Callithrix jacchus: one gene and its partner. The protein of the gene in region 1 interacts with the protein of each later gene in a biochemical or structural test. Links are inferred from orthologs where the notes say so. Each region holds a gene or a part of one and is shown on either strand. Other genes may lie near its edges. The genes, in order: PNN and RNPS1.

Region 1 (4,423 bases):
TGGAGTTTCACCCCATAGCCCAGGCTGGAATGCAATGGCGCCATTTTGGCTCACTGCAATCTCCGCCTCCTGAGTTCAAACAATTCTCCTGCCTCAGCCTCCTGAGTAGCTGGGATTCAGGCACCTGCCACCATGCACTGCTAATTTTTTGTATTTTTAGTAGTAGAGACAGGGTCTCACCATGCTGACTGACTGGTCTCAAACTCCTGACCTCGTGATCCACCCAATTCGGCCTCCAAAGTGCTGGGAATAGAGGCATGAGTCACCATGCTGAGCCACAATTAAGTCTCTAAAGAGCTTTGAGGCTTTTTTCAAAAAATGTTAATCTACTACTCTGACAACTTCAATATATGATATAAAACAAAACCTGGATAAATACCCTTTCTGTAGCGACAGTGGATTCTTGTTTAAATTTTTGAAGGGTACCCATCAACAAGCCAAATATTCGCCGGTTCCTAAAGAACAGAATAAAAAAATTTAACGTCAACATAATCTATTTCATTTAAACCCATCATTTTCTAAGAAATACTACAGGGCACTTGAACAATCCCTTGATTTTTCTTATAACTACATTATTCCACAGTATTTTTTCCCCCAGAAGGATACCTTTGCTTTCCCTTTTCATCCATATTTTGATCCTGGATAAGGTCTCTACGTGTGCGCTCTTTGGAGGTAGCTACAACTGAAGACTGCAATGCTGGCTGCAGAAAAAGAAAATCTCAGTAATTTAACTAGAATACGGGTGGTATGCTTTTAAATGTAATAAAGTGAAAGTACCATATTCATTTAAGTCCTTTCAATTTCAATACCTTTTTAACATCATCATCCTCTGGGTCACTTTCCTGGCGTGATTCTCTTCTGGTCCGACGCTCCCCGCCCAGCCTATTTTAGAAAAAATTAATTTTTTTGAGACAGGATTTCACTATATCACCCAAGGTGAAGTACAGTAGCGCCATCATGGCTCACTGTGGCCTCGACCTCCTGGGCTCAGGTGTTCCTCTCGTCTCAGCCTCCCAAGTAGCTGGGACTATACAGGCAGGAGCCAGCATGCATGGCCAACGTTTCTGTACTTATTGTAGGGATGAGATTTCACCATGTGCCCAGGTCGGTCTTGAACTCCTCAGCTCAAGCAATCTGCCAGCTTTGGCCTCCCCAAGTGCTGGGCTTATAGACATGAGCCACTGTGCCTGGCCAAAAATTAATTTAAATGACCACTGAAGTATTTATGTAACTGCCCACCAAGGGCAAATGTCCTCTATTTCTAGGATTAGTTTCCAGAAGCTTTGTTCTATTAAGCCTCCACCCCATTTTATTCTTTCATCCAGCAGAGATAAGATAAAATATGTAAATTAATGCCCAAAACAACTTTGTTCTCCTGTCTTTTTTAACTATTTCAAGCTGGTTAAAATTTTCAAGTACAAGTCAGAAAAAATGGTACTAACTGACATTCTTTCCAATTTTAATTTTCACATGACCTTTATTTTGATAAAATCTGGGTTATCATGCGTGCAGAACTGTGTTTTGAGGGATACTGGCTGTCTCAGTTCAGGCAAATACCAAGAGAACTTGGGGGGAAAGTGGTATGCTACTCAATTCTAATACTGCTCAAACAACATTATTATTTTAACAAATATTTTTATGTGTGTGCTACCTCAAAAACTAAAGAGGCCTTCAGGAATCTTTTTTTTAAAAACCTACCTACTGACTGCCCCTTCAAGGTCTCTCTGTTTGGCTGGGGGTCCTCCTCCACTATCGGAGAATCCACGCCTGAAATTAAAAATGTTCAACATAAAGCACTTGAAATACAAGATAAATGGTATTTCCATTTGACAAGAGAATATGGTATGAACTTTTAAAAATCTTTCCAACTAACAATGGGCATTCATTCCAAAATGCTTTTATAGTGTTACTTTAAACTATAAGAATTAAGTTCACACAAAACTGGTACACTTAATATATTCTTCAACTTCTAGTTTTTCAGGGTAACTATATTTATTTACAAAGAAAACTAATCTGTCACAAGCATTAAACAGAACAAAGACAAACACTGGGTTATTGACTTTATCACAAGTTTTGTTCAAAGCAGTATCTTTAGTATAGAAAAGTACCAATAGTTTCAGCATGAGTAAAGTCCAAGGGAAATCTTACCTCAGTAATAAACTACCACGTCCTCTACCTCCACCAGGACCAGAAAGGGCCAGCAATCTGGCTTGGATGGGCCTGTAAGAGATTTACAAATCAGTACAAGATCCTATGTAGACATATCTGGTTGCACCACATACTTTCAGAGATGTGGATCCTAAGGAGAAAATCACGAAAGTTCCAGAAAGATAGTTTCAAATAAATCCAAGTGTCTGAAACAGGACAAAAAGTACCATTTCATTTAACTTCCTCGTTTCTCCAGGACCCGTATCACAGAAATTATATTCACCTCAATGCCCCCTCACATTAACAACCCTGGATCAGGTCCCCATCCCGCCATCCCGGAACAAGCTGCACGTGGGCATGAGGCAGGGGTGAGACGGCAAGTCGCGTCCTGGCAGGGTCTCGGGGCCAGCCCCGGGCTGGGTGTACGCCGGAGCGGTAAGGGGCTTTGTGCTGCAGTTCCGGGCCTGCAGGGCCGAGGGCGGGAATCAGCAGTCCAGATCTTCTCACAGGCAGAGAAAACATGCCGACGCACCCTGGTCTCGCTCTCCTTCCTCAAGGACCGGAGACCAGGGCTCTCCTGTGGGGCCTGGGGCCTCTCCACCTCAGCGAGTACAGGGTTCTACCGCCGCACAGCGAACAGGCCTCGAGGTTCCAATCTTCTGAAGACTGGCCTCCTTCCCCACCCCCAATTCACCCCGACCTGGGCTGCGTCTTCGAGTCCAAGTTCCCGTTAGGCTCTTACCTCACGTCATTTGGATCCCGCCCGGTGAGCTTGCGAATATTCTCATCCACGTTCTTAAGGCTCTCTTTGGCCTTTTCTAGCTGTTCCTGCAAAGTTCTCACTGCGACCGCCATCTTCTCCCTGCAGCAGACTTGCGACTGCTCTACAGGCCGCGCCGGGCTGTGCCGCGCCGCCGAGACGAGAAAGGACTGACAGCCCGGATCAGCCAATGACGATGAGCGTTGTTTTTCGGCCTCAACCACTCAGCGACCGGAAGGGGGAGAAACGGCAACCTTTGTGACTCTGGGCCAATGAAAAGTCGGCTAGGCAGTAATCTCCCTCCCCAGTTAGCTGCCGATGCCTGAATCTCGCCGCTAGCGCAGAGCCGGGGCGGGTTTGACAATCCCTGAGTTCTCGGAGACTTGGGCTCGCGAGCATGCAGTTCTGGCAAGGGGAGCGCGGAGTTTTCCACGCATTTTAACCTATGATGTAATGTACCTTACTTCGTTTTAACCTAATCACACCATGGGAGGACTCAGCCAAGCCTCCTTTTCCTCCTTCCCCTCACCTTGGTTAATGATTTAATTAGGGAAGGGCGCGGCTATTCTGTTGGTGCGCATGCTCAGAGAGGGGGCGGGCGCGTGCTTTTCTCCGTTAGGTTTTCTTTTTTTCAGACGGAATCTTGCTCTGTCGCCCAGGCTGGAGTGCGATGGCGCTGTCTCGGCTCACTGCAACCTGCGCCTCCCAGGTTCAAGTGATTCTTCTGCCTCAGCCTCCCGAGTAGCTGGGATTACAGGCATTCGCCACCACGTCCTGCTAATTTTGTATTTTTAGTAGAGACGGAGTTTCTCCCTGTTAAGTCAAACTGGTCTCGCATTCCCGACCTCCGGTGATCTTCGCCCGCCTTGACCTCCCAAAGTGCTGAGATTACAGGCCTGAGCTACCACTCCCGGCCTGATTAGGTTAAATTGAGCAGAGGGAAGACAAAAATAAAAACTAGGAAAAATATTAATCATAATGGCTAACATTTGTTAGGAGTTGGTTTTGTTTCAGACCCTCTGTGAAACCTTCTACATGCCTTATTCCTCACAAACTAAAAGTGAGACTAAAATGCCTGTTACTACTGATAAGGAAATTATGAGATAATGTAACTGTCTCTGGGTCACACCAGTTGAGAATTAGTCTCTGATTAGACCCTGAGCATCTGAAAAGAAAGCAATGGGGAGTGGGAAGACAGACAGGCAGTCATAATTGAGTTAGCCTCTTCACCTGGCCTAGAGCTGGTTAAGATCAGGCCTAGGCTGGGCGCGGTGCCTCAAGTCTGTAATCCCAGCACTTTGGGAGGCCGAGGCGGGTGGATCACGAGGTCAAGAGATCGAGACCATCCTGGTCAACATGATGAAACCCCGACTCTACTAAAAATACAAAAAATTAGCTGGGCATGGTGGCGCATGCCTGTAATCCCAGCTACTCGGGAGGCTGAGGCAGGAGAATTGCCTGAACCCAGAAGGCGGAGGTTGCGGTGAGCCGAGATTGCGCCATTACACTCCAGCC
Region 2 (4,001 bases), on another chromosome or scaffold:
TGTGTTCCCGCTGGGCCGCGAACGGGGCTAGGGAGTGGGCCTTTGTACTGTCTGGGGTGAGGTCTTGGTCCGACCACTGGGAGCACCGGGCAGTGAGGTCCCAAGCAGTGTTCAGTGGTCTCAACTTTGGTTCTTAAGATGTTAAGCATTTAAGATTCTTCCTTGTGTCCCAAACCAATTTCTGAGGTGGAGAAATGGCCCCCTGATGGAGGAGGAAGCAAGCCTGGCATGGCGACGCAAGCCTGGCATGGCGACACATGCCTGTAATCCCAGTGACTCAGGACCAAGGGGCAACACAGCAACACCCCGTTGCTACGAAATATTTACCCCCCTCCCCACACACACTCTCTTCATGTTTCCGGTCGGGTAGAAGTTCCAGCTTCAGAGAAGGTAATAAAACACCTCATTCTCCTGTTTGTCCACCATAGGGGCAACCTAATACCCACAGCACACAAACCCTAGGTTCTCCTGCCTGAAAGCACTGGAGGTGCCACTGTGGATCACGAGTAACAGAAAGCTACCAAGGGGGCGAGGGAGCAGTGAGAAGGCAGTGAACCCAGTACTAGACCTGCATTCCACTCCTGCATTTATTTAACACAATTCTTCCGCTCTACACAACAAAGTACAAACACAGTGTCATCTAAAATGCTACAAAGTTTTAAAACTCAAACAAATTTTATAGTACTGACTGTACAATAAAAGCAAAAAAAAAAAAAAAAAAAAGCAATGTACATGTTGCCAAGATAACCTGAAGGGCAGGCACAGCGGGGGCTGCATGGTGACCCAGCAAAGCTGGCTCTCAACTCACTCATCAGTTTCACAGTAGGGCGATGGGGTGGGGTGTGTGCATGGGTGCAGACAGAGAGAACCATGCACAGCGACTACCGTGGGTGAGAGGCTCTCCAGGGCTGTGTGACCCTGTGTCAGAAGAGGCCTTGAGAGGCCAGGCCTAACAGGCTTGGCAGCTGCGCTAAAGCCCAGGACAGCTCCCTTTTCAAAAGGACACTGTGGGAAATGTGTGCTCCCAGGCAGGCAGATCACACAACTCCCCCAGAGCCTCACTCATCCCTGGTGGCTCTGTCACTGAACTGACTCTCAGAAACTGAAAATGGGTGAGCTTTCTAGCCAGAAACTCGGCGGGTATCTTGGCAGGCACAACACACACCAACGGCACTTCTGCAGCCAGAGCCCAGTCGGCAGAGGGGTGCTGCCTGCTGCCTGCAATGCCTGCCCAAGTGAGGGGGTTTGCTTTCCTACTGATCTTCCTTTGGCTAGAAAAGTGACAAAACTGAGCTGGGTGGGGTATAAGTTACAGGGGTGAGAGATCCAGTGGCATGCTTAACGGGAGGAGTTGGAGCTGGAGCGGCTCCTGTGGCGGCGGCGGCCTGGGGAGCGTGATCGCCGACGCACAGGGGACCTGCGCCTTGGGGAGCGGGATCTGCAGGAAGAGGAGAAACCACATCAGAGGAGTTCAGACTGTAGGGCAAGCTAGCTTCTTTCTGGGCAATTCTCCACAGTTTTACTTTTTGGTACTAGAAGTTGGGACAGGTCCCACCTGATGGGCCTGCCCCTGAGCTCTTGGGAATGGGTGCTCATGAGACCCAAGGCAGAAGCCCAGGCTTCCTTCCTCTTCCCCAAAGGCTGAAAGCATAGCTCACGACTGGCAAGAGAAGGCCAAACTGTGGCCTTTGGCAAGGGATTACCACCCCCACCTCCCACCAACTCCTCTGACACCCAACTTCCTCCTCTCCTAGCCCTTCTTGTTAGCTCAGAAAAAAGTGGGCCTGCACCTGGGCTCACAGGTCTAACGGTCTCCTGGGAAGGCCACGTCATGCCACGTCACTGCTCAGACTTAGAAAGTTGTGTTGGTGCACGCTAGGGCCTCTCCTGCCTGCTGCTCACTGCAGCCGTGCCCGTCCTGCTTTCCCCATGAGCTCTGAAGGGCTACTACTCTCTGCTACCCCTAACCCACACAGCAGCAGAAGGCAGGCAGGGCTGAATAAAGGGTCCCTAAGTCACTGCGGTCACATGAGGTTTGTGGCCTGATCAGTTCACTGAAACTACACTTTGTTTACCTTCTCCTCATCCGTGGGGGAGACCTGCGCCACATGGGTGGTGGCGGCAGCATTCTCCTGGGAGGGCTGAATCGCCTGGGGGGTGGTCTAGGCCAGGGTGCCAGCACAGCGGTGGCAGTGATCTCCTGGCCATCAATTTGTCCTGTTGAAAAAGAGAGCAAGTCATAAAATATCTAGCAAGCATCTCCCTACACAAAGCATGTCACAGTGAACAACAGGCCTGGGGGACAATGACTAATCACAGAAATAACGTCATGAGTACCATGTCATGAGGAAAGGCGTCAGGGAACATGAAAGGAGACACCGATGGTGTCAAGGCATCCTCCCACATCTAAACTGACGCAGGCCAAGAGCTAAAGAACGTGCTGGAGGTCAGGCGCAGTGCTCAGCCCTGTAATCCCAGCACCGAAAGGCTGAGGCGGGCAAATCACAAGGTCAGGAGTTCCACACCAGCCAATATGGTGAAACCCCTTCTCCACTAAAAATTCAAAAAATTAGCGAGGTGTGGTGGTGCACGTCTGTAATTGCAGCTACTTGCGGGGCTGAGAATGTCTTGAACCTGGGGCAGACGTTGCAGTGAGCTGAGATCACACCACTGCACTCCAGCCTGGGTAACAGAGTGAGAGAGTTTGTCTCAAAAAAAAGGAAGAAAAAGTGCTGAAATCCACTAGGTGGAAGAGAAGGGATATATGCCTTGCCCTGCGCTGTGAAGGACCCACAGTGCTGTGAGAGAAGGCAGCAGCGAGAGCAAGTGACAGGCAGAAGGAAGGAGGGTCAGGGTGGGGCCTCCTCGCAGGGCATTGCAGGTGCTATCTACCTTTGCGCTACCTTCTCCTACAAAGGGGCCAGGAGAAGGGGAGACCTGGTAGCAGGGCTCTGTGGCATGAATCAACTGAGGGGCATGAATCATCATCAAATGAAATGGTAGGAAAGGGAAAGGATTCAGGGCTAACTGGGAAGTGAAGTTGCCAAGCTTGGTGGACGGGATGAGGTGGTGAGGGACAGTCAAGATGAGCTTCCATTCGTGGAGAGGTGGGACTCCAGTGGGGAGCAGCATGAAGGAAGTTTCACGAACTGTGAAACTGTGTTTGGAAACAAGCAGTCTGAGAGGCGGCTCTCTGAATGTGAACGGCACTGAAACACAGGTCATGTGCTGCAATGGGGTGGCAAGAAGTGAGGAGAAGGGCTCCAGGGAGAGAGGAAAGGAAACGGAGGTGCAAACCCAGGAACCCCAGGGCAGCATGTGTCCCAACCTCAAGAACTGTCCGGTAGCTGGGGATACCAGGAACCCAAGCGCAGCCCCTTCTGTGCCCTAAAGGGTGAAGGGCTCTTTTGTCTTCTCAGTTCCCACCTTCAAGGCACCTTCAAAGTGCATGGGGTACTAACTTGGGCACGTAGATACATATTCAGAACATACTTAAGAGGTTTAACTTCAATAAACTCAGCCTAAGTTAGCCCAAATTAGGGATTTCACAGCACTGACTCTAGAATGAAGAAAAATCTGTCTTCTGTCTAGCTACCAGTGAAGGCCAACCCCTGCTCATTTTCTCTTGGACACAGCGTGGACTCACTCCATTCAATGACAGTACGGGGACACACACAAAAATCCTAGCAGAATCTTAAGAAAAGCTGGAATGTCTATAGTCATGCCCACCTATAAGATACCCGGATCCCCTTGGTTTTTAGCTCAGCAAGTGCTCAGACTGTCAAAATAGCAGAAAATCAGCAGACTCCAAAGCAAAGGTGTGGCTCCCAAGGCCGAAAGCTGAGGTGAGTACACAGAGCTCCCAGCCTATTTCAGGACTGAAGTAACTTGAAAGAGAAGTTACTCAAGTGTCAAGGAAACCTTCCTGATGTGTAAACTCTACCAGAGCTCAAAGGCAATTACTGAAAAAAACAGGTAAGCTATTTATAAAGTTTTTAACA

Evidence for each region.
Region 2: the proteins of PNN (region 1) and RNPS1 form a complex in vitro, tested with the Homo sapiens proteins (3 studies listed by BioGRID and IntAct). The link is inferred for Callithrix jacchus from reciprocal best matches to the Homo sapiens genes PNN and RNPS1.

The regions. Positions count from the first base shown.
Region 1 is NC_133509.1:73,851,899-73,856,321, reverse strand, and holds the start of PNN (pinin), read right to left. Parts: upstream 3,030-4,423; 5' UTR 3,004-3,029; coding exon 2,891-3,003; intron 2,221-2,890; coding exon 2,149-2,220; intron 1,768-2,148; coding exon 1,699-1,767; intron 883-1,698; coding exon 810-882; intron 702-809; coding exon 607-701; intron 456-606; coding exon 380-455; intron 1-379. UniProt on the Homo sapiens protein: Transcriptional activator binding to the E-box 1 core sequence of the E-cadherin promoter gene; the core-binding sequence is 5'CAGGTG-3'. Capable of reversing CTBP1-mediated transcription repression.
Region 2 is NC_133513.1:4,512,676-4,516,676, reverse strand, and holds the end of RNPS1 (RNA-binding protein with serine-rich domain 1), read right to left. Parts: intron 3,846-4,001; exon of another isoform or gene 2,239-3,845; intron 2,218-2,238; coding exon 2,076-2,217; intron 1,439-2,075; coding exon 1,339-1,438; 3' UTR 570-1,338; downstream 1-569. UniProt on the Homo sapiens protein: Part of pre- and post-splicing multiprotein mRNP complexes. Auxiliary component of the splicing-dependent multiprotein exon junction complex (EJC) deposited at splice junction on mRNAs.